Elephas maximus indicus: one gene and its partners. The protein of the gene in region 1 purifies or fractionates together with the protein of each later gene. This does not show direct contact. Links are inferred from orthologs where the notes say so. Each region holds a gene or a part of one and is shown in the gene's direction. Other genes may lie near its edges. The genes, in order: LARP7, NAT10, SF3B1 and YTHDC2.

Region 1 (7,285 bases):
TGTATCAGAAAATATGATTTTCTACCACAGGTTTGGTTCCTTACACGCTCATTAAATTTTTTAAGAATTGCTATGGTCACCACAAGATGGCCCCCTTGAGTTTTAATTTTTTTTTCTTTTGCTTTTTAAAGTCCATATCACAGTAAAAAAACAAAACCGTTGCCACTGAGTTGATTCTGACTCATGGCAACAGTATCTAGCACTAAATAGGCAGTATAATACTTCTGCAAAGAAAAATCTTTCTTAAAACTGTTGTAATGGGTATGTAGCTATCCTATGATATTGGATGAAACTGTTCTGTGTGCGAATTTGAAAATCTTAAAATCACATTACTCAGGGTGACTTGAAAAAATTAATAGACATAACAAAGAAACATTTTTTTTCTTTTTTCCCTCAAAAGCAGTGGTTCCGAAGGTATGGTCCCTGGACTAGCATCATCGTCTGGGAACCTGTTAGAAATGCCAATTCTCAGGCCCCATCCTTGACCAAACGAATCAGAAGATCTGAGGTAGGGGCCCAGTAGTCTGTGTTTTAACAAGCCCTCCAGACAATGATGTTGCATGATGCAGTTTGGAGAACCCAGGCTTTAAAGTCCTATGAGGATCCAGTAAAGGTATAATTTGAGATTGTGGGTTCAGTTCCTTTTTTATCCATATAAAATACATAAAATATGCCACCTATATATATTATTTAAGAAGTTCTGGTGGCGCAGTGGTTAAGTGCTCAGCTGATAAGCAAACGGTTGATGGTTCAAACTCACCAGCCACTCCACAGGAGAAAAGACCTGGTGATCTGTTCACATAAAGATTGCAGCCTAGGAAATCCTATGAGGCAGTTCTACTGCCACACAGGGTCATTGAGTTGTAATTGACTTGATGGCATATAACAATGTATATTATTTATAAATTACATATATTTGTTCAGTACTTACTATGTGCCAGAGGTCCCTGAGTGACACAAGCTGTTTGCACTCGACTACTAACCTAAAGGTTGTCAGTTCTAACCCATCCAGTGGCACCATGAAAGAAATGCCTGTCAATCTGCTTCCATAAGGATTACATCCAAAAGATCCTACGGTGTTCTACTTTGTAGCACACAGGGTCACAATGAGTCAGAACTGACTAGACAGCAACAGGTTTGGTTTGATTTTTTGGTTTACGATGTGCTAGGCTGAGATGCAAAAATGAACATAATACTTTTGCCGATCTCAAAGAATTTTCAATACAGCAGGGTAATAAGCAGTATTTACAACAAGATATGACAGGAATAAGTACAGGAGGGGCACCAAACTTGGTCCAAAAGGAGGCAATGTCTAAGCTGTACCTACAAATAACCATTAACCATAACATGCCAGAGGCGTACTTTCCAGAAGGGAATTTGATATGTGCAAAGGGATGAGGGCAACGCAGTAAAGCATAATCAAGGAACTCTAAATAGTATGATAAAGAGGTCAAGTGAAGAGTGAGTGGTTGGATAAGAAGTGACAAGGTAAATAATAATAGGATTCAGAAGGCCTTATATGTCCTGCTGAGGAGTTTGGACTTTCTATGACAGTAATGACCCACTGCCGTCGAGTCGATTCCAACTCATAGCAACACTACAGGACAGAGTTGAACTGCCCCAAGGAGCATCTGGTTGCTTCAAACTGCCTACCTTTTGGTTAGCAGCCGTAGCTCTTAACCACTATGCCATAGAAACCCTGGTGGCATAGTGGTTAAGAGCCACAGCTGCCAAACCTTCAGACAGAGACTGGACTATAAGACATAAAATAATACTGGTGAGGAGTGTGCTTCTTAGGTTAAGTAGACACATGAGATTAAGTGGGCAGATCCTGTCCGGAGGTAAGATGAGAAGGCAGAGGGGGACAGGAGCTGGTTGAATGGACACAGAAAATACAGGGAAGAAAGGAGGAATGTGCTGTCACATCATAGGGAGAGAAACTAGGGTCACATAACCATGTGTGTGTAAGTTTTTGCATGAGAAACTGATGTAAACTTTCACTTAAAGCACAATAAAATTAAAGAGCTACAGCTGCTAACCAAAAGGTTGACAGTTTGAATCCACCAAGTGCTCCCTGGAAACTCTATGGGGCAGTTCTACTCTGTCCTGTGGGGTTGCTATGATTCGGAATTGACTCAACAGCAATGGGTTTGGTTTTTGGTTTATGACAATAATGGGAAACCATGGCAGGATGTAACAAATAAAATGACATAATCTAATTTGGGTTTTACAAAGATCACATTGGCTGACATGTGAAGAAAGAATGGAGTAAGAGGTAGCCAAATGAGGTATGAATACTTACCTGAAGACACAGGTCACAGGACAGGACTTAGAGGCACTGCCTTTCAAAGCTATAACTCCCACATTCCTATATCCCTTCCCTTTAGCTCACAAGAATTGCCAGAGTACTATGAAAATAATAGAGAGATACAGAGAAACACTTACTAGCTGGCGCTTTTACAGCTACTTGCTCCCAGCCACTGAATGGGCTAGACATTCTGTGTATGTAGATGAGACTATTTAGTGTAGGCACTGTGCCCACCATGAGGCAATTATTAATCTTAGATCTCTTTAATAATAATAATATTCAGTGCAAGTATATGCTAGACACTGCTAAAAATGCTTTCAATGCTTACAACATTTTTGGTGTAGGTATTACTTTTATCTCCATTTTACAAAAAAAGAAACTGAGGTACATAATAGTTAAGTAACTACTGAAGTAAATAAATGGCAGAGTCAGAATTCAAAACCAAGTAGCCTAAACTCTAGCGCTCGTACTCACAAATGCTATACTATAGGGCTATTTATCATGTCGCTACTGTGTGTCAGGCAGGGATTAGGCTAGATACTTTACATGCAATATTTATCAGTCTCATAATCCTGAAGAGTAGGTACTGTGATATTGCCACTATGATTTAAAGATTAGGAATCCAGCATTTACTAATTTAGGGTTACTTACACAATATTTAGGAAATGTAAGATAAACTTTCCATTGTTTTCCCAAATTAGTGAAATTTCTTCTGGGATTTACAATTTTAAAAGAAGGTTAAAAAAAACTCTTACAAATAGTAAATGAGATTGTAGGATTAAAACTCAGGAAAAAAGGATAATTAGATTAGAAAATATTTAAAAGAGCTCTAATACCTACATTCAGTAAACACCCCTTTCCTACCATTAAATGAGAAAAATTATTTTATACTACAGCATCATATATTCATGTGAGATGCAAGGATAAAAAAATTTCACAAAGTGGTAATCAATACACAGCTGTCAGACACTTCAAGTGCTGGCCCATCTCTAGTGGGTGAAAAATTACTTTGCAAATAAATTTTTTTAAGTGGTGTGGAGAGCTCCAGGTGTTCCGTGGTAATTACATATGTACAGGCATGCATATACACATACAGGTACACAATCATATACACACATATTAATTGATATACGTGTATATATGTGTCAATTCGGTGTTCTCAGTTAAATATGAGCCAATTTTCCTGATAATTACGAGATACTCTTGGGCTTTTTCTTTTGATACATGCAAAAGGTTGCCTGCAGGATCTATAAAACCAAAAAACCAAACCCACTGCCGTCGAGTCGATTCCGACTCATGGCGACCCTACAGGACAGAGTAGAACTGCCCGATAGAGTTTCCAAGGGGCGCCTGGCGGATTCGAACTGCCGACCCCTTGGTTACCAGCCGTAGCACTTAACCACTACACCACCAGGGTTTCCATGGACACCCTAAATAGTTCACAGATGACAATGAAGGCTTGACCCATTACATTGTCCGTCCTAAAAACAACCACCAAAACCCTCCCCGGTCCTCACAGAAATTGCAAAGTAGGGCTGGCAAAAGCGGTGAAGTCGAGACACCAATTATTAGAGGCAATCCGAGCAAGCTGTGCCTGTCACCCACCCCCGAACAGCTTCCTTCTCGGTCTGCCCCTTGCGGAGCAGATTCTTTCGTCCCTTCGTCCCAAAACAGCCATGCAGCCTCTCGCTTAAGTCGTCCTGTCTATCCACTCCTCCTTGCCCGAAAACCCCAGGAAACAGCTCACTTCACCTGTCCCATTGCACAAATCCACTTTCGAATTTCTCCCGCGAAAGAGTGTGACGTAATTAACCGGGGACCACACCAGATCAGGACCCACTACTTAGCCCGCCCACCTCCACCTCAACCAGAACCGCCTTTTTCAAACTGCCAATCAAATTCTTCAATGGCTACGAAGCTCCTCAGCCGGCCGCGCCTTCCGATGCCCCGCCCGACGGCAGCCAGCCCAAGCCTGTGACGTAACGACGGGCGCACAGGCTCAGGGCCGGCCTTTCTCGAGGGGAGCTGGAGAACGGTGTCGCTCACGCTATGACGCGAAAAGAAGCGCGACTATAAGGATCGGAAGGCGGCAAAGGCTGAAGGACGCAGTCTGTGTCCCTGTGTTTGGGGAACTGAACCGAGTAAGTGACAAGTGGCCTATAGGATTGCTCAGGTTGGGTGAGGTCTAATTTCCTCTCAGTCCTTTTTCGTGCAGTCCATTCTATCTGTCATCCTAATCACCCCGCCCCCTCCCACGAACCCAGTCTTAGTGCCCTTGTTGTACTTCTTTGTGCGCGTGCGCGAAAGTCCTCTGGCTAGCCTTGTAGTTCCAGTTTTCAGAGCGAGAGGGCGCATATGGTCCGCCATTGGGAGGTTTGGGGCACGCCTCTCCTTTGGCAGCATCCTTGAGGAAGTACGGATGCCGAGAGAGGATGTAGCAATAAGGAAAGTGCCTATTTGGGGAGACTGGGGTTGACCATCGGCTGTCAAAGCATAGAGAATGTAGTGATTTGCTATGAGTCGGAACCGACTGATGGCACGTAACAGCAACAGTCTCGTTCCCGAACAGTTGAACGTCTAGTTACGAAAATAGTGTGTTAGTTGCTCTTGAGTGGATTCCGACTCGCGGCATCCTCGTGTGCGGAGTAGGAATGCTCCATACGGTTTTCAAGGCTGTGACTTTTTGGAATTAGATCATCAGGCCTGACTTCCGAGGTCTCTGGCTGGATTTTGAATGGCCAAGCTGTCGGTTAGTAGTCAGCACTTAACAGGTTAAGCCACCCAAGGACTAAGTACAGTGTACTGAATGCTAATAAATATACTTAGGGTAAGCAGATGAGGAAGCAGTCAGCTAGGGAAGAAGTGGTGATGTAAGATCGTAGAGAGAAAGATGACATTTTATCTGGGACTTGGAAGTTGAATCAGGGGTTTTATAAGGCAAGACAGACCAGAAGACTCATTTCAGCAAAGGCACAGAGGCAAGAAAATGTTCAGGGACCATTGTTACTGGAACAACGATCCTTAACTTTTGTTGGCACAACAGTGCTTATGAAAATGTGGTAAAAGCTATGAATAAGCACCCCAGGAAAAGTGCATGTTTACATTTGAAAACACTTTGCATATAATTTTGTGAGGAAAAATTTTAAAACTTTGAAATGCCAAAAAAAAAAATCCCTGAGTGCCTGTTTAGCTCATGCTCCACCTTTGCGTTTCATTGTCATTGAACTGTTTTACTAGTATGTAAGTTGTAGAAAACTGATTATGCAAATTAGTGTTGTCCAGTGAAGATGTAATTATTGCCCTGATCAGTTTTGCATCTATTACAAAATTAATTTCATCATTCCTAATTACCTATATATGTGTCTGCTCTTTAATTCTCATTTGAACTGATTTTTAACACCTAGTTCCCTCTTTGGAGCCTGGTTTTGAAGTGATTAAGAGCTCCGATGCTAACCAAAAGGCCAGCAGTCCAAATTCACCAGTCGCTCCTTGGAAACCCTATGGGGCAGTTCTGCTCTGTCCTATAAGCTTGTTATAAGTGGGAATTGACTCGACAGTAGTGAGCTTTTTTTTTTTTTGTTCGTTTTTTGTTCCCGCATTGATTATTGAAGTACAATCTTTGTTATGTTCGTTTTTGGTTCCCCATTTAATTATTGAAGTACAGTCTTTGACATGTATTTATGTTTATGTCGTACTTTTACAAAAATCATGATTTTTACTTTTTTTTTTTACTTGGGGTTCACAATACTTCCTAAAATCCATTTTAAGTTCCATGGACTTCGGGTTAAGAATCCCTGGATTAGAACATAGAATGCATTTTGGTAAATTAGAGGAGGTTATAAAAAGGTTGGCAGTTCGAATCCACCAGCTGCTTCTTGGAAAATATGGGACTTTGAAACCCTACTCTGCCCTATAAGGTTGCTATGAGTTGGAATCAACTAGAGGCAATGGGTTGGGGGCATTGTTACAGAGTAACGTTTTATTGTTTGTTTAAAGTCCCTGTTTAGAAGCCAGTCCAATGTCATTAGTTCAAAAAAAAAGAAAAATTAGATCACAGGAAAGTGCTAAGGAATTTCTGTTGTGGAAAGTTTTGACTTGAGGTTGACAACAAAGAACCAGCAGACACCAAATCAGATCTGTGTCTTAGACAAGTTGCAGAAGGATGGATGACTTCTAGAGCAATTTATGTGAATTGTCCCCCTACCATATAGTGACAGTAGTAATGGAGAGCACTAAATGGAGATGAGAACCATTTCAGAGGTTGAATTGACAGGATGTAGAGACACACTGGTAAATGATAATGTGTTGAGTGCATACTACTTAACAGCAATTTGTAGTGCTCTGCTTTTTTTTGATCCTCATAACAACCCTGTTGGGTAAGAATGATGTTTATCCCCATTTTATAGACCACAGAGAGATGAGGTAACTTGGGCAAGCTTGCCTAAGATTCACACAACTAGTAAATAGGTAGATTGGTTAGCTCAGTAGAATAGAGCATCTTTAAACAAGATGAAAATGGTGGAAGGAGAACTAGGCCAGGGGAGGGAAGATAGTAAGTTTATTTAGCCCTGAATGACAATTCACACATTTGTTATCACAGAACATTGAGAAAATACAGACTTTACGGACTGAGACTGTAATAAAAATACTGCCTTGTAACTTGCTGATCTTCTTTAGTCATTATGTTGTTCTGTGCCATTGAGTTGATTCTGACTCAAAAAAATTAAAACAAAAAAAACCTCACTGCCGTGGAGTTGATTCTGACTCATAGCGACCCTATATGACAGAGTTAAACTGCCCCGTAGGGTTTCCTAAGCTGTAGTCTTTACAGGAGCAGATTGCCAAGTCTTTACTCCTGAGGAACAGCTGGTGGGTTCTAACCGTTTCCATTAGCATCAGAGTGCTTTAACCATTGCATCACTAGAGAAGCTAAATTGTACCATATCTTACGTTACTTTTTGCTTAATCCATATTTTT
Region 2 (6,886 bases), on another chromosome or scaffold:
TTTAAAAAGACAAAACTATTCTCATATACTCACCATTAGACTACTGGAGTTTCTGCTGGTTTTATACCCTATTAAAATGATAGGCTGTTGAACGTTCCACATTCAAAAGTTTTGTAGGGGAGTTGGGGGCAGATCTTTCAATGTTTATTTTAAAATAAAATAAGTTCTTGACTTTTCTTGTGTGGTTGTGGTACATCATATTGGAAGGGTTTTCTGTTTACTTTTGTAAATGAGTATTTCTTTTGCTAGCACCTCCCCTTGCGTGCTTTATATGACATCTGCCTGGGATGTACCACAACCATGTATTAGCTGTATTTTAGGGGGGCGGATAAAATATTTGTAGTTTAGTAGGTAATCTCTAGTTGATGTTATGCTAATTGTCTGTGTAGAAAATAATTACATTTAACATTACAAAGTTGAAGTAAATAAGTTCTTCATATAGTGACGTTCTTTATGAATCAGTTTCAAGGTGGGATGGGAAGAAATTCCTTCCAGCTTTCAAACTTCTGTACCTTAGTGAAGATGTGAATGTGTAAAAGTTTAGTAGCTAATTGATTTATTTCTATGTGAATTTTTAAAAGAAGTGTTCTTTTTCAAATAGTATACTTTTTTTGCATTCTGTCATCATAGTCTAAATGTAAAGCTTTTATGTCTCAATTCAGACTATATTTTTTAAAGAAGTGCCTCATTATGGAGCAGAGAACTTTTTATCTCATCAAGATGTGAGTCTTGGTATTAAGTGTCCTTTATAATATGTGAGTGCTCATCCTAGATGCAGAGAGCCTTTGTTTGATCAAATACATATTTTAGCAGAATTGTAAGGGAGTAATTGTCACACATGTCTGTGTAGCTTCTTCTTGTAGTAAGACTCCCCATACAGAAGACTTTTATAGACGCACAGTATCAATCATCTCACATGGGTAATGAATTTCTTTTTTAAAATTTAGGATAGGACGTCATCATTTATCTTGGTTAGGACCGTTTTATTTCCAGATCCTAAACCTTGGTGGCGTAGTGGTTAAGAGCTACAGCTGCTAACCAAAAGGTTGGCAGTTCGGACCCACCTGGCACTCCTTGGAAACTCTGGAGGAGTCCTACTGTGTCCTGTAGAGTCGCTATGAATTGGAATCGACTTGAAGGCAATGGGTTTGGTTTTTGTTTAATATTCCTAAGAATATAAGTTTTTTTTTCCAGTTAATATATCTTGTTATTAAACTAAATACCCTTAAAATGTATTAGCATATATAGTTCTTTTGTCTTCTTACACATGCAGCTCTTTTGCATGGAGACTTTTCCCATTTAGAGGAGACAAGAGAATGTGGGCTGCTTCTCAGAAGGCTCATTAACTGAGATGCAGTTGACAACCAATTCATAAAATGTAGAAGGTAGTGGAGCAGGTGGCCTCCTAAGTGTCTTAACATTTTTTGGGTTGTTTACTATTTTTTCAAGAACATATCAGTATTAGGGAAAATGGGATGCAGGTAAGCACTAACTTCAAACCTTTTACTTCATCTTTAAGCTCCTGATCCACATGCCACTTGAGTTCTTACTAAGCACTTTGTTTTAAAAACTATAAATTGTAAAGAATCAGTATTGCCCTTGAGCTTTTCCCTTATATAGAATGGAAAAGGAAAGAAAGCTTAGGAAAATGATTTTAAGTTGTTAAGACTCATCTCTGTGTCTTTTCACATTTTGAATTCTGCAGAAGTATTGGAAAAAACTAGTCAATTTTTTAAATCACATTAGATTAAACCCCCCATATAAAACCAAACCTGTTGGCCATCAAGTTGATTCCAACTCCTAGCAACCCCATAGGACAGAGTAGAACAGCCTCATACTGTTCCCAAAGAGCGTCCGGTAGATTCAAACTGCCGACCTTTTGGTTAGCTGCCGAGCTGTTAACCACTGCACCACCAGGACTCGCGCATTACATTAAATCATGTTAAAATCTGATTCCTTATTGTCCTTGAGAGAGGGCTGTTTCAATTGTGTATACCAACCAACCAGCAAATGTCTTAAGAAGTAATATTACTTTTGAGGGGGGAAGAAAAGGATTAAAGAAATCTGTTTGGTAGCCTAGTCTCAAGAGAAAGTTAGGCTCCTACTACATTCTCTCAGTCAGGATTTTAATATCTTCTTAAACTGTTCTGAAGCCCAATCCAGTCCACGTAGCAGCCTGCTTTTTGAGTGTAGGCTGTGAAAGATCAGGGATTTGTCCCTGATGTGGTCAAGTTTTTAGTATATTCCTTTTTTCTAAGTACTGGTTTTCTTTCTAGTGTTTATATTCGGGAACTTTTGTAATGAACCACTAAGACTTAAACAATTTTGGCTATCTATTTGCCAGTCAGGCTCAGTGCTAGACATTGAGTGGACAAAATCACGGTGGTTCCTGCTCAGAGATACTGGTGACACAAAAAATGGTTTATGATAGATGTGAAGGCCATGACATTACAGACCACAATGTTAAAATGATCAGGAAAGACTTGGTCGAAAGGGATAATTGAGCTAAGACTTGAAGGAGAGATGTAATAAACTAAGCAAAGAGGGGAAGAGAAGAACATGTCCAAAGGTCTTATCTCCAGTGACTGGGAAGGCTACTTGGCCCAAGTGGAAAGAAAGTAAAGATTATAAACAGGCTGGAGAAACAGGTAAGGCCTGCAATCGGGGCTTTATGTTTTACATTCCATGTTAAGTTTTGTCGCTTAACAATTGGAAACGAAGGTTTTTAAGCTGTGGCGGGTGGGAAGTTGATGGGTTACCTAATAAAATTGCCGTTAAAAAACATGGTGTAGTGTTGAGAACTGAGTGTATGGGTAGGAGTTGTAGGGAGGCTGTTGCAGTGAAGCCCATGTGAGATGCTTATAACACAAATGGGTAGGGTGGGGTGAATGGATTCTACAAATTGCCTCAAACCTGGCCACTGCTCATTATCCTTTGAATTCTTAACGTCTGGGTTGTCAGACTTGTCTAGGTGATGTCATCCAATCCCATGGCTTTGAATTCGTTAGCATTTTAGCAACTTCTAAATATTTCTAGGCCCTGAACTCCAGAGTCAACATCTTGATCAGAATGTTCGAGGATGTCAGATTGAAACTGATTTTCTCATACCCTGTATCTAATCTGCCATCAAAAGCACATGGTTCTACCTTTAAAATACATGGGGTGTCATGTAGCACTTGTGACTGCCAGACAGCATTACCATCCTAGAACAGATAACTGCAATAACTTAAAATGGTTCTGGTTCTCCCTGCTCCTACTTTTACCCTTCTGTAGTGTAGTTTTTATACCACAGCCAGAGCAAGCTTTTTAAAAGAGGGCTAATTAGGTCTTGTCACACCTGCTCCCTGAACGCCAGTGGTTTTCCATCAAATCTAGAATAAGTTCTCGATCTGTGTTCAAGAAAGCCTTGTATTATGTGGCCTAATTTTCTGCCCTTTTCCCTTTTGCTCACTGGACTGTGGCTGCACTGGCTGCATTGTTAAGATTTTTCCCATCTTGGCCTTTGTCATATGTCTGTTAAGCCTTGAAGGCTTTTCACTCAAATATTCTTGGGGCTCCTTTATTCATTGAGGTCTTTTGCTCCGTTGTCACCATCTTGGGGGCCTTTCTTGCCCCTCTGCAGAATCTCGCATTTTACTTGGTACTTGGTTAATAGCATTTAAAAGTAGGACCATGTAAACCTAGTATGGGGTGGGGCGGGGACATTTTGGTCACTATCTCGTGGACAAAATAGTATCTGGCATACTGACAATTGATTAGAAAAGAGTTTGATAACGGAGTTGGACTAGATGAGTGGTGGCCACAAATACATGAAGAGTTAGGGGTGTGGGTGGTTGGGGAAGGGGTTTACAGGGATGAGGGGGGAAAATGAATTTATTTGTACATTATGAGTTTGAAGTATCCAAGCAGTTGGATATGTGTAACTGAAGTTGAGTAATCTGACGAAGACAAAAATGTAAAAGTACAGAATATGTGTTGGAGGCACTTTGAGTCAAGGGCTTCAACGAGTTTGCCTGGGGAAAGTAATTGTACAACGGAATACCCCCAGAGCTGGCTTTCAGAGGAATCGCGTCATTTGAGGGCCAGTTTGAGTTCTAAGGAAAGCGTGCAAAGTATAGCAGCTGTAATGGATGGAAAACTACGAATTCCAGACGGTTCCACAAGGTGTCAATATTGCGGGGTAGAGGGAGGATCAGGTGAAATCAATGAGTTTCCGTATCTCACGTCACAATGGGAGGTGAAATAAGGGGATCAAAAAATGGTGCACATATTTTTGGAGCCAGTCGTCTCGCACAATGAGGTTAACAGTGAAACCCTGGGTCACAAGAAGCGGGTGCTGCACCCAACCGTGTCAGGACACCCACACTAGCCCCAGCACAACGACATGCTTTGGGATGCGGAAGATAAATCTAAATTTCACATCTGTGTTTTGCCCTTAGTAGCTAGGGTATAAGGCGCCATGGTGGTACAGTGGTTAAAGCTCTTGGCCGCTAACGGAAAGGTTGGAGACTTGAACCCATCAGCCGCCCCGTGGGAGAAAGATGTGGCGGTTTGCTTCTGTAAAGATTAGCTTAGGAAACCCATGGGGCGGTTCTACTCGGCCCTGTAGTGTCTGTATGAATCAGAATCACTCGACAGCAACAGATTTTTTTTGGTTTAGTTAGGAATGACACACTAAAGACACAAGTTGCCTCGGCACCACAGCTATCGCGAGAAGTGGCCCAAACTGCAAAGCGGGAGTTGCGTGGCAGAAGCGTCTCGCTGGTTTCTGACGTCATCACTCTGCGACAGGGTTCGAGGAAGGTCCCTTTCGCTCTCCGCGTGTTACCTCGCGTGCTTTTACTGCCTTCCAACGCCTGAGCTGAATGTTCGTCGCTCTTGACATCCGAGAGCAGGCGGCCGGGCATCCGCTAACCCTCCTCACTTCTGGGGCTGCACTGCTCTCACGTGCTTCCGCTTCGCCGCTGACTAGGATCCTCTGGGCTGCAGCCTCAGGTACCCCATCACGGGAAGGTTGGGGAGGGGTGCCGAGGTCGGCGTCCGTGTCCTCCCGCAGCCGGGAGAGAACCGTCCCGAGGACGAAGCCTGTATCCGAGCATCGGCCAACGCCGACCATCGGGCGCTTCCAGATGACAGGATCCCTTCTTCCCCAAAGTGTAGCCACTCTCGGGCGGGCTGATTGTCGCTCGAGGGTGGGGGTGGGGAGGCAGCGCTGCTAGAATCCTATCCTTAAGGGATCATTAGCTGGAGGAGCGAGGTAGGTGGGTGACAGCACTTCGCCCTCCGCGGAGCGTTCCAACAGTTCCTAGTTGCAGCGCTGGACGTTGAACTGAGGCGGTCTGTTGATTTCGCGCCCTTTGCTACTCCGCTTGTTCTTTATATCATTTTTTCAGTAGTCACATTCAAGATTGTTTACTAGTACTTCTAGACTGGTGTGTCATCTGTATTTGTTAAACGATAGATGAGTGAAGGAGAAATAATCATCGTTCCTCTACTTCAAGGCCCTCCTTGTTCGTTAAGCCTTCCATGGCAACTCCATCCACACTAATCTCTCCTTCATCAGACCGCTGGCTGTAGCTATTATTTTTACATCTTATTTTATGTGTCTTCAGTTGTCTCTCATCTCTTTCTCTTAAATACCTTCTCCAAGGAGAATGAAAGTACCTTGAAGCTAAGGACCTTATCTGGTACTGCTTCTGAAGCACAGCAACTAGAGCAAAAAGCAGTCCTCTGTAATGAGGTGTTGACTGAGTTTTGTGGAATCTTTTTGTGGCCCTCAACACAAGATCTCCAAGCAGGACAAAGTGGTGAACAGGAAAGAGCTCGGGCTTTGAAGTCAGGCATACCTGAGTGTGATTCTGTCTCCATCACTTGTCTGCCTTGTGATGCTTGAATTCTTTATACTTGAATCTTTCCTGATAAAGCAGGGACTGTTGGTGGTGACATAGTGTTTTCTAGTAAAGACAGAGCTGCTAAAGATTTATACTTGGATTGGGAGGCTACAGGGGACACTTAAGGTATGGTTAAGGTTAAGGTTTAGGTTAAGTGGTCAACTGCTAACTGAAAAGTTGGCAGTTCAAACCCACCCAGCAGCTCCTCAGCAGAAAGACCTCTGCTCTCATAAAGATTACAGCGTAGAAAACCCTATGGGGCAGTTCTGCTCTGTCACATGGGGTTGCTATGAGTTGGAATTGACTCAGTGGTACCCAACAACACTTAGAATGCAGCAGGAATTGTAAGTTTTAAGAAGTGTATTATGTTTACCTTTATATTGCAGTAATAGAATTGATTTCTTGATGTCTCTTTGGTGTACTTATTATAGTAATTGTGCAGTTTTTTTTTTTGTATAATCACTTAACTTTAGAGATTTGTTTGTATGAGTCTTTATTAGGTTTTCCCTCTCTTGAAGAAACAGTGAAACACATTTCATCACAGAAATAGTCTTTGCTTTTTTTCTCCTAATTTTGTTAATAACATGAATTAAAAAACCAAAAGAACAAATAAAAATCACTTGCAATCCCACCATCTGGAAATAACAACATTGTGGCATTTTTATACAGTTTTTTTTTTCTCTGTATATTGTATATATATGTATATAAAAAAAAAGTATCATACTTTCTCTTGCTGTGTTGTTTTCTCTAAGCATCTATATAATATTTTTAGGTAGTTTTTGGAATAACTGCCCGTTATTATTTCATGGATATACCATTATACATTTAAGTCGTTCTCCTACATATACATATTTTTTGATGTTTAAGTTTCCGATTTTTTTAACTTCTCAGTAGAGTTGTGAATTCCAGTTTCCCTGCCGACTTCCTAGGCTGAAGAAGTGTTTTCTTCACCTCCCAAACCTCAGTTTCCTAATTTTCAACGTGAGGCTGATTTC
Region 3 (7,775 bases), on another chromosome or scaffold:
GGCAAGTTCTTACCGAATTTCCAGTTCAAACTTCTGAGAGAAGGAATCTTGGCTAAGCAAGTAACTTCTGTTGTCTGTGGGCAAGGTGTCCTGTATTCCAGGCCAGGTACTAGATACCTGGCTGGGTGCCTATCTCTCGTCCAAGGGAACAACTCAGAGCTGTTTCCCTGAGCAGAGACGTTGGTCAGGTTAGCCGAAACTAGAAGAAAAGTTAGACATTATAGGTGTATTGACGGACATATTAAGAACATTATCTCCAGGATTTTTTTTTAATAATTTTTATTGTGCTTTAAGTGAAAGTTTACAAATCAAGTCAGTCTGTCACATATAAGTTTATGCACACCTTACTACATACTCCCATTTACTCTCCCCCTAATGAGTCAGCACGCTCCCTCCTTCCAGTCTCTCCTTCCGTGACCGTTTTGCCAGTTTCTAACCCTCTCTACCCTCCCATCAGGACTTTTTTTTTTTAATATAGCTAAGAAATACCTTAACTTTTCAGAAATAAAACTCTAATTGTGGAATTTTAGGCATAATATAAAGGAAAATGGAAATATATTTTTGGCCTGGGGTGGACAGAGTATGATACCCCTTTGATATGAGACCCCTGGAAAACTCAACACTGCAGATCAAGATTGTGGCCACTTGTCTTGTGACAACCCTTTTTTCACCTGAGAAATTGTCACCTGGGTTCCTATAGAATGGAACTTGAAGGCCTTTAGAGTTTTATCTCCAAAGGTAATTTATGCGAGTTACAGCTAGCATTTAACATTTTGTAAAATTATTATACCTTGCTTTCTGTCTAGAGAAATTATATATCCTTGCTACTCTGCAATTTATGGAGCCCTGGTGGCACAGTGGTTAAGAGCTTGGCTGCTAACCAAAAGGCTGGCCGTTCAAATCCACCAACTGCTCCCTGGAAATCCTATGGGGCAGTTCTACTCTGTCTTGTTAGGGTCGCTGAGTCAGAACTGACTCAATGCCAACGGGGTTTTTTTTTTTTTGCTACATATATGTATAAAGTCAGCATCCAAGTACCCCTGACAAGAAATGGAAAGATTTAATTAGATGTTACCACTGTCAATTGTCTGTGTTATAAAAACAGGGACCAGGTCACCCCTCTGACTTTTGACATAAAAAACCTCACCCGAAGAGGTTTGGATTGAAGGGGGTAAGTAATGTCTCAGTATTATTTATTAATACTATAAAAAATAGGATGTAAAAGAGACTTGTTAAAAAAAAACAAACTTTGTTTTTTACTGCTGGAATGTCCAATTCACTCTTTTATTAAAGACTAGTAAAAAAAAGGGAGTCTCCCTTGATTTTTGGCAAATTCTCTCAAATCTCATTATCCTGTATATGTCCTTGCCCTGTGAAAGTAATTTAATACCTAGGAACCCATAGAAATACGTACATGATGTGGCCAGCAGGTTCAGTTTATCTCTGTCTTGGAAAGAGGAGGAGGGACGGTGAGACCACTTTGCAGCTGGTTGTCATATTTTTAAAACATATTTTTCTGGTTATAAAAATAATACATACTCATAGCCAAGTATCCGGAAAATACTATAAAGTATAAAGAAAAGATAAAAATCACCCATATTCCCATCATTCATAAACACTTATTGTTAACATTTTTAGTGAATTTCCTTTGCATATATTTTTTTACATGACTGAGCTCACCCTGTATATACAAATTTATTTTTTTTAAACATGACCCAAGAATGCAATGTCCTTGTGATTCTTTGCCAATATGAATTCTTTTAGTTTGTTGATTATTGATGAATAGTAACTCCCTTCTCCCATTCCTTATTTCTCATTCTTTTTCCTTTCATCATTTTAAAATATACTATAAATAAAAAAAAAATACATATATGATTTTTACTATTTTGTATATATAAAAGAATACATGGAACTTATGTGTAAGTTATAAAACATAATAATATAATGAATATTCATGGATCCTTCTGCCAACCCAAGAACTAAAATTTTGTCAATGATTTGTATTACAATCTACATTCTCTTCTCTTATCTCATGCCCCTTTCTCCCCCAACTATTGTTTAACCTAATAAAGAAATGCAAATTATACAACTGAATTTTTTTTTAATTCATCAAATTGATTTTTCACTGCTGCTAATAAAAAAGAGAAGAACACGCTCGGCATTTCTCAAGCTGAAATAACTGAAGAAAAAATTCAAGCCTTGAGTTGCAGTATGGGGAAAGTATCAAAAGACGTGGGAAGCATCGAAAGAAGATGGAAAGAATATAGAGTCATTATACCAAAAAGAATTGGTTGACATTCAACCATTTCAAGAGGTAGCATATGATCAGGAACCAGTGTACTGAAGGAAGGCGTCCAAGCTGCACTGAAGGCATTGGCAAAAAACAAGGCTCCAGGAACTGATGGAATATCAACTGAGATGTTTCAACAAACAGATGCAGCACTGGAACTGCTCACTTGTCTATGCCATGAAATTTGGAAGACAGCTATCTGGCCAACCAACTAGTAGAGATCCATATTTATGCCTATTCCTAAGAAAGGTGATCCAGCCGAAGGGGAAAATTATCAAACAATGTCATTAATGTCACACGCAAACAAAATTTTTGCTGAAGATCATTCAAAAGAGGCTGCAGCAGTATACTGACAGGGAACTGCCAGAAATTCAGGCCAGATTCAGAAGAGAATATGGAACCAGGGATATCATTGCTGATGTCAGATGGATGCTGGCTGAAAGAATAGAATAACCAGAATGATGTTTATCTGTTTCATTGACTATGCAAAGGCATTTGACTGTGTGGGTCATAACAAATTATGGATAACATTGTGAAAAATGGGAATTCCAGAACACTAATTTGAACCTGTACATAGATCAAGCAGCAGTTGTTCGACAGAACAAGGGGATACCACATGGTTTAAAGTCAGGAAAGGTGTGTGTTAGGGTTGTGTCCTTTCACCATACCTATTCAATCTGTATGCTGAGCAAATAATCCGAGAAGGTGTACAATATGAAGAACAGGGCATCAAGATTGGAAGAAGACTCATTAACCACCTGTGTTATGCAGATGACACAACCTTGCTTGTTCAAAGTGAAGAGGACTTGAAGCACTTACTGATGAAGATCAAAGACTACAGCCTTTAGTATGGATTACACCTCAACATAAACAACCCACCCCCCACAACTGGACCAATAAGCCACATCATGATAAATGGAGAAAATACGTAAGTTGTCAAGGATTTCATTTTACTTGTATCCACAATCAACACCCATAGAAACGGCAGTCAAGAAATCAAAAGACTCATTGCATTGGGCAAATCTGCTGCAAAGGACCTTTTTACAGTGTTGAAAATCAAAGATGTCACCTTGAAGACTAAGGTGCACCTGACCTAAGCCATGGTATTTTCAATCGCATCATATACATGCAAAAGCTGGACAATGAGTAAGAAAGACCAAAGAACTGACAGCTTTGAATTGTGGTGTTGGAGAATATTGAATATACCATGGCCTGTCAAAAGAATGAACAAATCTATCTTGGAAGAAGTACCAGAATGCTCCTTAGAAGCACGGATGGCAAGACTGCATCTTACATACTTTGGACATGTTGTCAGCAGGGATCAGACACTGGAAAGGACATCATGCTTGGTAAACTACAGGGTCAGCGGAAAAGAGGAAGACCCTCGACAAGACGGATTGACACAGTGGCTACAACAATGGGCTCAAGCATAACATCGATTGTGAGCATGGCGCAGGACCTGGCACGAGTCAGAACCGACTTGATGGCACCTAACAACAACCAAAACAAAAATGCACTTTTTCTGTTACTAATGCTTTTCTAAATATGAGTTGTGAATCGATCACACGTCAAGGTACACTCTTTCCTTTTTGATGGCTCTAACCTCCATCGTTGTTTTCCTAAGCTGCTTCCTGGACCACACTTCCCTTTGAGATCTGTTCTTTTTCAACTCTGAAGTCCTAGGCAAATGTGAGAGTTTATGATATTATATTGATGCATAGGAAAAAAAGGCGGCGGTACTCTCATTGACTAAAATTCCTAATGTAGGAAGGATGTTTAAAATTTAGAGACGCATTTTATAGTGTTTACTGCTGACGGTCAGTGGTTTTCTAAGAACCCATAAAGTTAAGTCAGGGGGGCAACGGTCCTGCTGTGCAACTTAAAAACCGTGAGACCTTAAACAATTTATACATGTTCTCCCTAGTTTTTCTCTCATTTCTTAATTAGGATTAGCAACAACTTTACTTACTGGGCTATTTATGAGATTCAATAATGTTTGGGTACTTTATGTTGTAAACAAAACCCTTACACAAATGATAGGCAATTACCAAAGGAAAAAAATGACTTTGAATTACAGCGCGAAGGATGAGGCTGTTTTGACTATCTCCATAACTAAGCATTGCAAGTACAGACATGCTAAAGAACACTTCTCTGGCTCTGACACACCTTCCGGTGAATTTGGAAAAAGGGGATTGAAGACCTGCTGAAGTTTCTCCCAGCCCCGAAACCGTAATTTACCGTACAGTGTCTGTTCTAAACTGTCCTCGTGAAAGCCACGTTCTCCAAGGCAAAATTACACACTTAAGGGCGCTAGGGCTCACCCGGTTCCCGTCTGAGTCAACAAGTAAGCCACATCAGCCTCCAGCCCTAGCTCCTCCCATACCCACAATTCACCTTGCTTTTCCAGCTAGATGGCTGTTCTGTCACGTGTCACCCACGGAGCGCGCTCCCGTTTTGCGCCTGCGCAGAGAGCAGCTCCAGCTGTTTTTCTCCGTGGCGGCGGCGGCGGCGAGCGGAAGTTCTTAGGAGCGCCAGTTCCGTCTGTGTGTTCGAGTGGGTAAAATGGCGAAGATTGCAAAGACTCACGAAGGTAGGGATCTTCCTCTGCTTAAGTGTCTTCTCTGTTGCCCAGGCTGCTAAGACTCTGTCTTCTTAGGTTTTTGCCTCTTCCTGTGTGTTTTTTTCGTTGGGGTCCTAGCCCGTGCTTCGAGGCCTGCGTCGTCGCCTTGGCGCCAGCGGCGCAGGCCACTGCCCCATGTAATGGCGTCTTACTCATACACCCCCGACAGGCGCTTTGTTCCGTGCTTGGGTACTGTTGCTTCCCTTCTCCGACCAGAGGGCCTTGTTTAAACTGCTTGCTAAAGAGGATTCCAGCGCAAGGGGTTGGGGAAACGGGTGTGGGAGGAAAGTCTCAGTCGTTTCTGGGAACTGTTGTCGGAATAGTTTGTACATAAGAAAGTCAGAAAGGCACTGAAATACGGCAACTGCTTTTCGGCAGCACTATATCGGGTTTGGTTGAACAGAGGCCCACTACTCCCAACCTTGAGTAATATGTGTCTTCAGGTGTCTGGGTTACTTGTTTTTGTTGCACGACATGATTTGGGTGTAAAATTTTTCTCAGTCACTTTTAGCATAGTAGTGCTGTTTTTCTTTGGAGCTGGCTATTGGAGAAGCAGGTAGAAGGAGGTGAGGGCACATTAATGTTATCGATGCTCGAAGCGTTCAAACTAGTTGATCGTTTTATGGAATACAGAGCACATTATACGAAATTTACGGACATGTTGGGAATAGGCTGAAGTCTACTAAGGAGTATTAAGAGCGGGCCCAGAGGTGATAGGAAATGGGGGTCCCTTTTCAGAAAAGATGAAGCGTGGTAAGTTAGAACTGCATTCCTTGATATCTGATGTGAAATCCAAAATCTTCACTGAACACAATTCCAAGAGAAAGAGTTACTTTTATTTCACGTACCATCCATGTTCTTTATGTGTGGCTCGGTGTTATTCTGTGAGGGGTAACAAAGAATGCCGAAACCAAAACTAGACACACTGCAGCCTAGTCAATTTCGAGTCATAGCCACTCCATAGGATTTCCAAGACTGTAATCTTTAGGGAAGCAGACTGCCACCGTTTTTCTCCCGCGTAGTGGTTGCTGGTTTGAACCATCAGCCTTTCGGTTAGCAGACCAAAGAATATAAGGTCACAGATTTTATTCTTTAACGGCGGAAATAGATGTATATACATTCTCTTAGGCCAAACGAGTGCTTAGATAGAAGTAAAAGCAGTATGTTTCAGGAGTCTTCGGAACGGAGTGATTAATTTATATTTAGGGTTATTTCACAGAGGCGATGACATGTCCCTGGTCGGAAAAGATCAATCAGTTTTCAACTAGGGGAGAATATCTGAGCCTGAGAGAGCATTTTGTAACAAGGTAGTGTGAGCTGTGAAAGTTAACGGCGTGTTTGAGCAGTCTGCTGTGGCAGGAAAAGAGGGTGCAAACAGGGAAATAGTAGAAGATGAATCTGGGAAGGTAGGTTGGGACTAGAGTGTGGATAGAATGGTTGGGCCAACCCGAGGTCCAGGTCTCTGCAATTTAAGAGGCTTGCTAATGAATTGTCAATGACTTTATTATTATTTTTGTTGGGTGTATAGGATTTAAACACTGCCTTAATCCAGACGTGTCCTTAAGTACTTTTCCTCTTGGTTTTAGAGTATATCAAACATAGCTTTTGTTAAATAATTAGAAAATGTAAATATGTTGCCATTCTTATTCATGCAGGAGTAGATTATTCCCTTGGCCCATTTTGTGGCTTTGATGAGTTGTTTATTGGTATCGTCATCATAAGAGAACCTTTGACAGGAACATCAATAAAGTCCTAACTTTTTCCCGCATTTTAGAAACCCAGCTAAAAGCGTTGGTTGATAGAAGATTGCAATTTATTGGTCAGAATTACTATTTGGGGTTATTCTATCAATGTGAATTAACTGATGACACAAAGAATGTGTTAGAACATTCAGTGTACAAGGCCCTGCCCATCTCTGTGCAGTATAAAAAATGAAGATGGACCTCCTGCTGTCAAGGAGCTTATATAATAGGGGAAACATCTGCATATGATTAAAAGAAGACCAAAAAAAAAAAAAACGCAAAACCATTGCTGTGGAGTCGATTCAGACTCATAGAGACCCTATAGGACAGAGTAGAACGGCCTCATAGAGTTTCCAAAGAGTGGCTGGTGGATTCAAACTGCTCACCAAAAGCTGAGATCTTAACCACTGAACCACCAGGGCTCCTGAAAGAAGACAGAGTGATAAATACTTAATAGAAATACCCGCCCCCCCCAAAAAAACACACCAAACCCGTTGCCATCCAGTTGATTGCAGCTCATAGCCACCCTATAGGATGGAGTAGAACTGCCCCATAGGGTTTTCAGGAAGTACCTGGTGGATTCGAACTGCCAGCCTTTTGGTTAGCAGCCAAACTTTTAACCACCGTGCCACCAGGGTTTCCAACTTTTACTTAGGATATTGTATTAAGGCTTTCTCTTCCACTTGATTGAAGTAGTTTCATATAGGAACTGTACCTTGGTATGTCCAGTACCTAGTACCTAATGGGTGCTCACGTATTTAATCAATATTTATTAAGAGATTAATTTATACTGGACTTAATTAAGAGAGCTTTATAGAAAGGGTGCACTTAAACTGACCTTTGAAGGAATTAGGTAGGTTTGGACATGTTTGGCTGAGATAGATGCAGGACTTATTCATTATTGGGAACCTCCTGAACTGAGAGGAAGAAATGTTAGGTTAGCATCAGCTTATGGAAGGCTTGAAACAGGGTGGTAAGTTTGAGCTTGGCTTCCAAATGTCTGCAGAATAAAGTGCCTGTCTTCCTTCCCCTAGGTGGTCAAAACAATTAACCGGCTCAGTTGCTAACTGAAAGGTTGGAAGTTTGAGTGCACCCAGAGGTGTCTAGGAGGAAAGGGCTGGTG
Region 4 (7,731 bases), on another chromosome or scaffold:
TAGTTCGTTTAACCATTCACCAGTTGAAAGGCATTGGGTTGTTTCTAGTTTTGGGCTATTACATATAAAGCTGCTGTAAACATTTGTGTGCATTCTTGTTATATAAGATGATAAATGTCCCTATTTGGGGCCTCTTTTGCTTGGATTTTCTGTTCCTTGAAGCCAAAGCATCTTAACCAGTACTGAATGTAAAGGATGAGCTTGGAACTCTGCTAAGCACTTTATCTGCATGAAGTAATTTAATATACATTAATCCCCATAATAACACTGTGATGAACGTGTTTTATCATATACATTTTACTCATGGGGAAATAATAGCATAGTTAAATACCTTGCTTTAGACCACACAACTATAAAATAGGAAAAACAAAGATAACTTGAAATCCTTTATAAATATTTTATACCTCCCCTACCTTTTAATTTTTCTCTGAAACACATGGAAAAAGTAAAATTGCGGTGTTCTGCTTTTAAGCACCTAGAAATTCCTATGGGCATATAAAAATATTAGAAAATGTAGAATTTGACAAACATTGTATCTTATTGCTAAGTAGCTTTAGACAAGTCGTTATTCTCGTGTATTTCAAACACATTCTATACCATTGCTAGGCACTAGGAATACAAACATTTAGGCATTTCAATACCTAATGATAGCTAGGTACTTAACATATGCTGTATTCACATCAAGGCTATAAAATTAGTCTTACATATACCCATTTAAGGATGAGAAAATTGAAGCTCAGGGAGGCTAATTAGGTAGTTCAAGCCACAAAGCTAATAAATGATGGGGTCAATAAATGGTGGAACTAAGAGGAGATGGTGTGCGATTGATAGCAGTATGTGTCTGACCCCCATGCAAAATGTTTTCAGTTTTATCATAACACATTTGGTGCATCTAGATATTACCTACTTTCTATGTTTTGTCCTAGAATGAAGATGGGTTTCATGATTTGCTGGCCTAGTTTCCATCCCTACCCCAGTAATTATCAACAGCATGGTGTTGGGGCAATTTTTTAATCTCTTTTAGTCTCAGTTTCCTCATTTGTGTCATGGGTAATAGAACTACTTCACGTGGTTTTTTATAGAACTCGGTACTTCATATGGTTTAAATATACTAATAGAACTACTCCACATGGAGATTAGGGAAAATAAAGACAATGTCCCCATTGAGGGTTTTATTATTGCATAGCTAAGGAAATTATGATCTACTGAGATCAAGGTAGTAATAAATGTTCACCCAGTTCATTGGAGACTGTCTTAGGCTGGGTTCTCTAAAGAAGCAAAACCAATAAAGCACATAAATACATATATAAAAAATAATATAGAGACATTTATATTAAGGAAATGGCTCACGTAGTTGTAGAGGCTGGAATTCAGGTCAGGCTGGAGGCTTCTCCTGATTCATGTAGCTGCAGGGGCTGGGGAAACCAGGATTGGCAAGTCAGACAGCAGGGCTTTGGTTCATAGGCTGTGAAGACCGATGAATCCAAAGATGGGCAGGCAAGACAGTAGTTAAACTGCTAGCTCAAATCCCAAGAGCCAGAGGTCAGATTAAAAGAAGCCAGCACACGATCCAGTGCGAGCAAAAGCCCATGAGCCTTGCCAGAAAGTCCACTTATATTAGATGCAGTTTACACTCCCAAAGAAACTCCCTTTCGACTGATTGGCTACTCACAGCAGATCCCATCATGGAGGTGATCACATTGTATCAAATCTCATCACGCAGGTGATCACATCATTATATGAATGACAAACTATATCATAACTGCCAAACCACCCAGATTCATGGCCCAACCAATTTGACACTCAATGTAAACGATCACAGTGACCATGCCAGGGCCATGAGGAGGACCTGCTCATTCAGTACTGTTTCTATTAGTAGACAAAAGATATTAGGAGTTCAGAGATTATGATTAAAGTTTTCTGAGGGCAGAGATGACCAATCCTAATTCTAGATTCTAAAATATGGCCAACTAATACATATTTACAGCATTCCTATATTTCTAGGTGTGGATGAAATAATGGCAAACAAGGTATACAAGGTCTCTGCTCTTAAGGAGCTTATATCCTAGTGATAATAGCAAATAATAAATGAATGAATATTTTCAAACAGTGGCAGATGATAACAGACTGAGGTGAGAGAGGTTATCTAGGTAAAGGATGGGGTCCTTCCTTAGATGATAAGAAAGAGATGTCCATGTGAAGTTCTGGAAGATTGCTCTGTGCAGTAGGAAACTATGCAAGTATAAATTCCTCAGAAGGTAACAAACTTGATGTGTTCAAGAGACAGAAAAATATTATTACATCTGAGGATTTAAAGTGAGGGTGAGAGTGGTGGGAGATAAGATCATGAAGGTAGGCAAGGTCCGATCACTTAGGGTCGTAATATGGAATTGACTGTTCTAGTTGCAACGAGGAGCCATTGGAGGGCTGTGGTAGAGGTGCAATCCTAACTAGTTTATGAACTTAAAAGATCACTTTGGTTGCTCTCTGGAGATTGGATGATAGGAAGCAACCACGGTGGCTAGGATTGGGTTTATGTTAGTGGGATTGTATATAAGCAAGAGAAAGTTCTCTTACCCTTCCCTGATCTTTCAAATTAAAGGGGCCCATTCCATCACATTATATAGCACTTATTACTACCATTTAATCATCTACCAAACTTGTTGCCTCTCCTCCCCACTTAGGGTTGCCAGATAAAATATAGATGACCACCTAAATTTGAATTTCAGATACACAACAAATAATTTTTTAGTATATGTATGCCCAAAATATTGCATAGGAGATTCTTGTGCTAAAAAAGTATTCCTTATTACCTAAAATTCAAATTAACTGGGTATTCTGTATTTTTATTTGCTAAATCTGGCAACCCTACACACACTAGAATGTAAATTCCACGAGACCAGGAACCTTGTCTATCTTGTTCCCCAAAGTATATCAAGGGACTAGCAATACACAGAGTCAGTGTACCGAAAAGAATTGGTTGACATTCAACCATTTCAGGAGGTATCATGTGATCAGGAACCAATAGTACTGAAGGAAGAAGTCCAAGTTGCACTGAAAGCATTGGTGAAAAACAAAGCTCCAAAATTGACAGAATACCAATTGAGGTGTTTTGACAAACGGATACAGCCATGAAAGTGCTCACTCCTCTAGGACAAGAAATTTGGAAGACAGTTACCTGGCCAACAGACTGGAAAAGACCCATATTTATGGCTATTCCCAAGAAAGGTGATCCTACCGAAAGCAGAAATTATTGAACAATATCATTAATATCACACACAAATAAAATTTTGCTGAAGATCATTCAAAAGTGGCTGCAGCAGTGTATCTACGGGGAATGGCCAGAAATTCAAGCTGGATTCAGAAGACACGGAACCAGGGATATCATTGCTGATGTCAGATGGACCTTGGCTGAAAGCAGAGAATACCAGAAAGATGTTTGCCTGTGTTTTATTGACTATGCAAAGGCATTTGACTGTGTGGATCATAGCAAATCATGGATAACAGTGCAGAGAATGGAAATTCTATAACATTTAATTGTGCTCAAAGGAACCTGTACATAGATCAATAGGCAGTTGTTTGTAATGAACAAGGGGATGCTGCTTGGTTTAAAGTCAGGAAAGGTGTGTGTCAAGGTTGTATCCTTGTACCATACCTATTCAATCTGTATGCTGACCAAATAATCCGAGAAACTGGATTATATGAAGAAGAACGTGGCATCAGGATTGGAGGAAGATTCATTAATAACATGCGATATGCAGATGACAACCTTACTTGCTGAAAGAGGACTTGAAGCACTTACTGATGAAGATCAAAGCCCACAGCTTTCAGTACGGATTACACCTCAACATAAAGAAAACAAAAATCCTCACAACTGGACCAAAAAGCCACATCATGTTAAATGGAGAAAAGGTTGAAGTTGTCAAGGGTTTCATTTTACTTGGATCCACAATTAACACCCATGGAAGCAGCAGTCAGAAAATCAAAAGATGCATCGCATTTGGCAAATCTGCTGCAAAAGATCTCATTAAAGTGTTGAAAAGCAATGATGTCACCTTGAAGACTAATGTGTGCCTGACCCAAGCCATGACGTTTTCAATCGTCTCATATGCATGTGAAAGCCAAACGATGAATCAGGAAGACCAAAGAACTGATTCCTTTGAGTTGTGGTATTGGAGAATAATAGGCTGCCAAAGAATGAATAAATCTGTCTTGGAAGAAGTACAAACAGAACGCTCCCTATAAGCAACTATGGCGAGACTAGTCTCACGTATTTGGACATGTCGTTAGAAGGCATCAGTCCCTGGAGAAGAACATCATGCTTGGTGAAGCAGACGGTCAGCCAAAAGAGGAAGAAGCTCAATGAAATGGATTGACACACTGGCTACAACAGTGGGGTTAAGGATAACGATTGTGAGGATGGCACAGGACCAGGCAGTGTTTCGTTCATGAACAGAGGGCTGTTAGGAGTCGGAACGGATTGACTGCATTTAACAACAAGCATAGTGGCAGGCATATAGTGGGAGCCCATACATGTTTATTTAATGAATTAATAAAGGATGAAACCAAATGATGAGTGACGATAAAAGAACGAACGAGACTCGTGACAGAAAGGAGGGAGAAGACATAAAGTATCTGCTTGGTGAGCACCGGTTGCGAGGCGCGGCGCGGCGCCCAGCTGAGGTCACGGGCGCCGGCGGCCCTGGTGACGTCACCACGCCTGCGCTTTGGAGCTCGCTGAGGCTCTAGTGGCGCGGGCGCTTCCTCGCCTTTTCTGGTGACTGAGGGGCTTTGCTGTGACCCCGACACAGCCCAGGCTACCTGCCGAGCCGTCAGGTCCTAGCAGTGGCCTTCGGGGACCACTGCCCCGGCATTGGCCGCCAGCCTTCAGGTCTGGGCCGCTCTCCTGCGGGGAGAACATCTCCTCAGGACCATGTCCAGGCCGAGTAGCGTCTCTCCGCGGCCCCCAGCTCCCGGCGGGGGCGGTGGAGGCGGAAGCGGCGGTGGAGGGGGCGGCCCAGCGCAGTGTGGCCTCGGGGGCGGTGGCCGGGCCAGGGGGCTGAAGGACATTCGTATCGACGAGGAGGTGAAGATAGCAGTCAATATCGCCCTGGAGCGATTCCGGTACGGGGACCAGAGAGGTGAGGTTCCTGACAGGGACCCCGCCGGCTGGCGTTCCCCCAAACTCGGACCTTCGGAGTGAGCGGGCTGCCCCCTCCACCTCAGAGAAGGAGAGAGGACCTGGGCCGCACACCCTAACCCACCCGAGTGAGCCGGCGACCTTCCTACTCCTTGCGGCCTCAGAGGCGGGCCGGGGGCTGGGACCGCGGTCCTCGCCCTCGGGTGGGATGTGTAGGACCGAACAGTGTCCCTCGGATCGGTAGGGTTATGGGGCACTTTGCCTGGCGTCAGAAGGCGAAAAGGTCAGGTTGTTACCCGTGACAGAGGCATTTCTTTCTCCGTGGAGAGGCTAAGCCACTGTCTTTTAGGTACTGGTATTTGATATCTTTTTTTTTTTTAAGTAAAAGATTGTAGTCTTATCAGAGTCGTGTTTAACCTATAAAAGTAGAAGAATAGAAGGAAATCAAACATAAATACATTGGCAATATGTGGTGCTTTGTTCAAATCCTAGGAGCGTTATAAACATTGAAAAAAGTTAAACCTGTTGCGGCATGTGAAGCATCTTCCGTGTCTCTTAAGGTTAGAAAGCTGCTTGTCTTGGGTCACCAAATGCAGAACCAGCAGCCGACCTGTGGTGAACTGTACGATGTATATTCAGTGTTCATCCTGAGTCGCTGGGTTAAAAAGAGGACCCCCTAACTCTGGAAGCTTATGGTCCAAAACAGAATGACCTGAACAGAGTGATTCTGAACTTACATCAAACAAATGTAAAACCTGAGCAATATATAACTACAAAATTCAGCCTGAAATATTGAAATATGAATTCTCTGAAGTTTCAAAAGCAAAGCAAATTGAGTTTGATGTTGAGCTTTCATAATGGTTGAGCATACCTCATCGTTGATGGAAGTTAACATTTTGTTAAACAAGTGAGGACTAAGTTAAGGTAGTAAAATATGTCCATTAGCCATTATACCAAGTCAAGATTGCAGCACAAATAGGAGTACTGTTTGATGAACATCAGAGTTCTTTATCACATTTAGGTCTAATACTTAGATGACATTTTATTAATATGAAAATTCTGGTAGACATTTAGTAGTTATTGAGTTAATATCTAAAAAAAATATATCTACATATCATAAATTTAGTAAGAATAAATATGATTATATGCTTGTGATTTTTTATTTCATATTTTGCATATATGTGTGTATTGAAGCACCTTGAAAGAAGGTTGCCTATCCAGAAGTGGTACTGACGATTTTATGTCTTTTTCCATATAGAAATGGAATTTCCTTCTTCTTTGACCAGTACTGAAAGAGCCTTTATTCATCGATTGAGTCAGTCTCTTGGTTTGGTCTCTAAAAGTAAAGGGTAAGCTGATAACTCTCTTTATTTAAAAAGGAAAAGATTATTTGCAAAAAAAAGGGAAAATGTTTCTGACTACACTTAAATAGTTATTATTGTTTTAGATTCACATTGTTAATTACCTGCATGTAGATAGACTATCAGATCTGTACTCAGTTGACATCTCTTCCTCCTGTGCTCCCTAGCCCTGCGGCAAAAAAAAAAAAAGCTAAGTTTTAACGTGTAAGAAAAAATAGTTTAAAACTTGAAGTTGATTGCTTGAGAAAAATGTTTTCTTTTTTAATAGAAATAAAGTACCTATTTTTTAAAGAATGAATGGAAAAATGATACTAAGTACAGTTATTTATAGAGCTTATCTCTGTAATTATAAGCTTTAGATCAAATTCTTATTGTTTTCTTTCCTACCGAGAAGTGAAGAATCTGATGATTAGAAATGGTTAAATGGAGCAGGAAGAAACTATGTAGTGTGTGTGTGTTTCACTGACCAATAGGGGAAAAAGTCATTTGAGCCATCCAAATTTAAGAACTCTAAAATTCTGTGGAGCTGTTTCATTTTGGGAATAGAGATTGTGAGATTGATAAAGAACAGAGTTTCTCAATATTGTCACTATTACAGTTTGGTCTGGTAAACAAATAATTTATAAGATCAGCACAAAGCTGGTTCCTATGAGGTAGAGGTTAAAGATGTCCCAATTGGGCAACTTTTCCAGACTGCTATACTACTCTATCATCTATAACATCGACTACTTTCTTTCCTCTCAGTACCCTCCCTCCCATCTTTGGGTTCGCTGATTTGCTGCAGCGTCTCACAGAACTCACAACCTGTGTACAGGAAATAGCTCATGCAGTTGTAGAGGCTGGCAGGTCCCAAATCTGTGGGTCAGGAGTAGGCCTCTCCCAACCCATGTGGCTGCAGGGGCTGATGAACTCAAACCAGAAGTTCAGACCACAGGCTGCTAGCTCACAAGGTTGCAGAAGTTGACAATCAGGTCACAATACGCCACCAGCCCATGGGGCTGCAGAGGCCCGCGAATCCTAGAATTGGCAAGTCAGATTGCAGACCTCTGGCGCCAGTCCCAAGAAGCAGAAGTCAATCAATCATGGGATCCTGAGGCACAGAGAGAGAGCCCTGCCAGGGCATCCACGCATATACCTTAGAGGCGGGCCACACCACATGGAAGGGCATAACTTGAGTAAGGGTGGGACTTAAATCACACCCTCCTGCAATGCTGTGACCCAAGGGCCCAA

What was found.
Region 2: the proteins of LARP7 (region 1) and NAT10 purify together in Homo sapiens (affinity purification with mass spectrometry; 3 studies listed by BioGRID and IntAct, with this or other methods). This does not show direct contact. The link is inferred for Elephas maximus indicus from reciprocal best matches to the Homo sapiens genes LARP7 and NAT10.
Region 3: the proteins of LARP7 (region 1) and SF3B1 purify together in Homo sapiens (affinity purification with mass spectrometry; 4 studies listed by BioGRID and IntAct, with this or other methods). This does not show direct contact. The link is inferred for Elephas maximus indicus from reciprocal best matches to the Homo sapiens genes LARP7 and SF3B1.
Region 4: the proteins of LARP7 (region 1) and YTHDC2 purify together in Homo sapiens (affinity purification with mass spectrometry; 3 studies listed by BioGRID and IntAct, with this or other methods). This does not show direct contact. The link is inferred for Elephas maximus indicus from reciprocal best matches to the Homo sapiens genes LARP7 and YTHDC2.

The regions. Positions count from the first base shown.
Region 1 is NC_064823.1:37,905,229-37,912,513, reverse strand, and holds the start of LARP7 (la-related protein 7), read left to right. Parts: upstream 1-4,263; 5' UTR 4,264-4,449; intron 4,450-7,285. UniProt on the Homo sapiens protein: RNA-binding protein that specifically binds distinct small nuclear RNA (snRNAs) and regulates their processing and function.
Region 2 is NC_064825.1:89,338,306-89,345,191, forward strand, and holds the start of NAT10 (RNA cytidine acetyltransferase), read left to right. Parts: upstream 1-3,885; 5' UTR 3,886-4,995; intron 4,996-6,886. UniProt on the Homo sapiens protein: RNA cytidine acetyltransferase that catalyzes the formation of N(4)-acetylcytidine (ac4C) modification on mRNAs, 18S rRNA and tRNAs.
Region 3 is NC_064824.1:95,769,862-95,777,636, reverse strand, and holds the start of SF3B1 (splicing factor 3B subunit 1), read left to right. Parts: upstream 1-4,773; 5' UTR 4,774-4,852; coding exon 4,853-4,880; intron 4,881-7,775. UniProt on the Homo sapiens protein: Component of the 17S U2 SnRNP complex of the spliceosome, a large ribonucleoprotein complex that removes introns from transcribed pre-mRNAs.
Region 4 is NC_064820.1:123,199,297-123,207,027, forward strand, and holds the start of YTHDC2 (3'-5' RNA helicase YTHDC2), read left to right. Parts: upstream 1-4,720; 5' UTR 4,721-4,933; coding exon 4,934-5,141; exon of another isoform or gene 5,142-5,489; intron 5,490-6,398; coding exon 6,399-6,489; intron 6,490-7,731. UniProt on the Homo sapiens protein: 3'-5' RNA helicase that plays a key role in the male and female germline by promoting transition from mitotic to meiotic divisions in stem cells.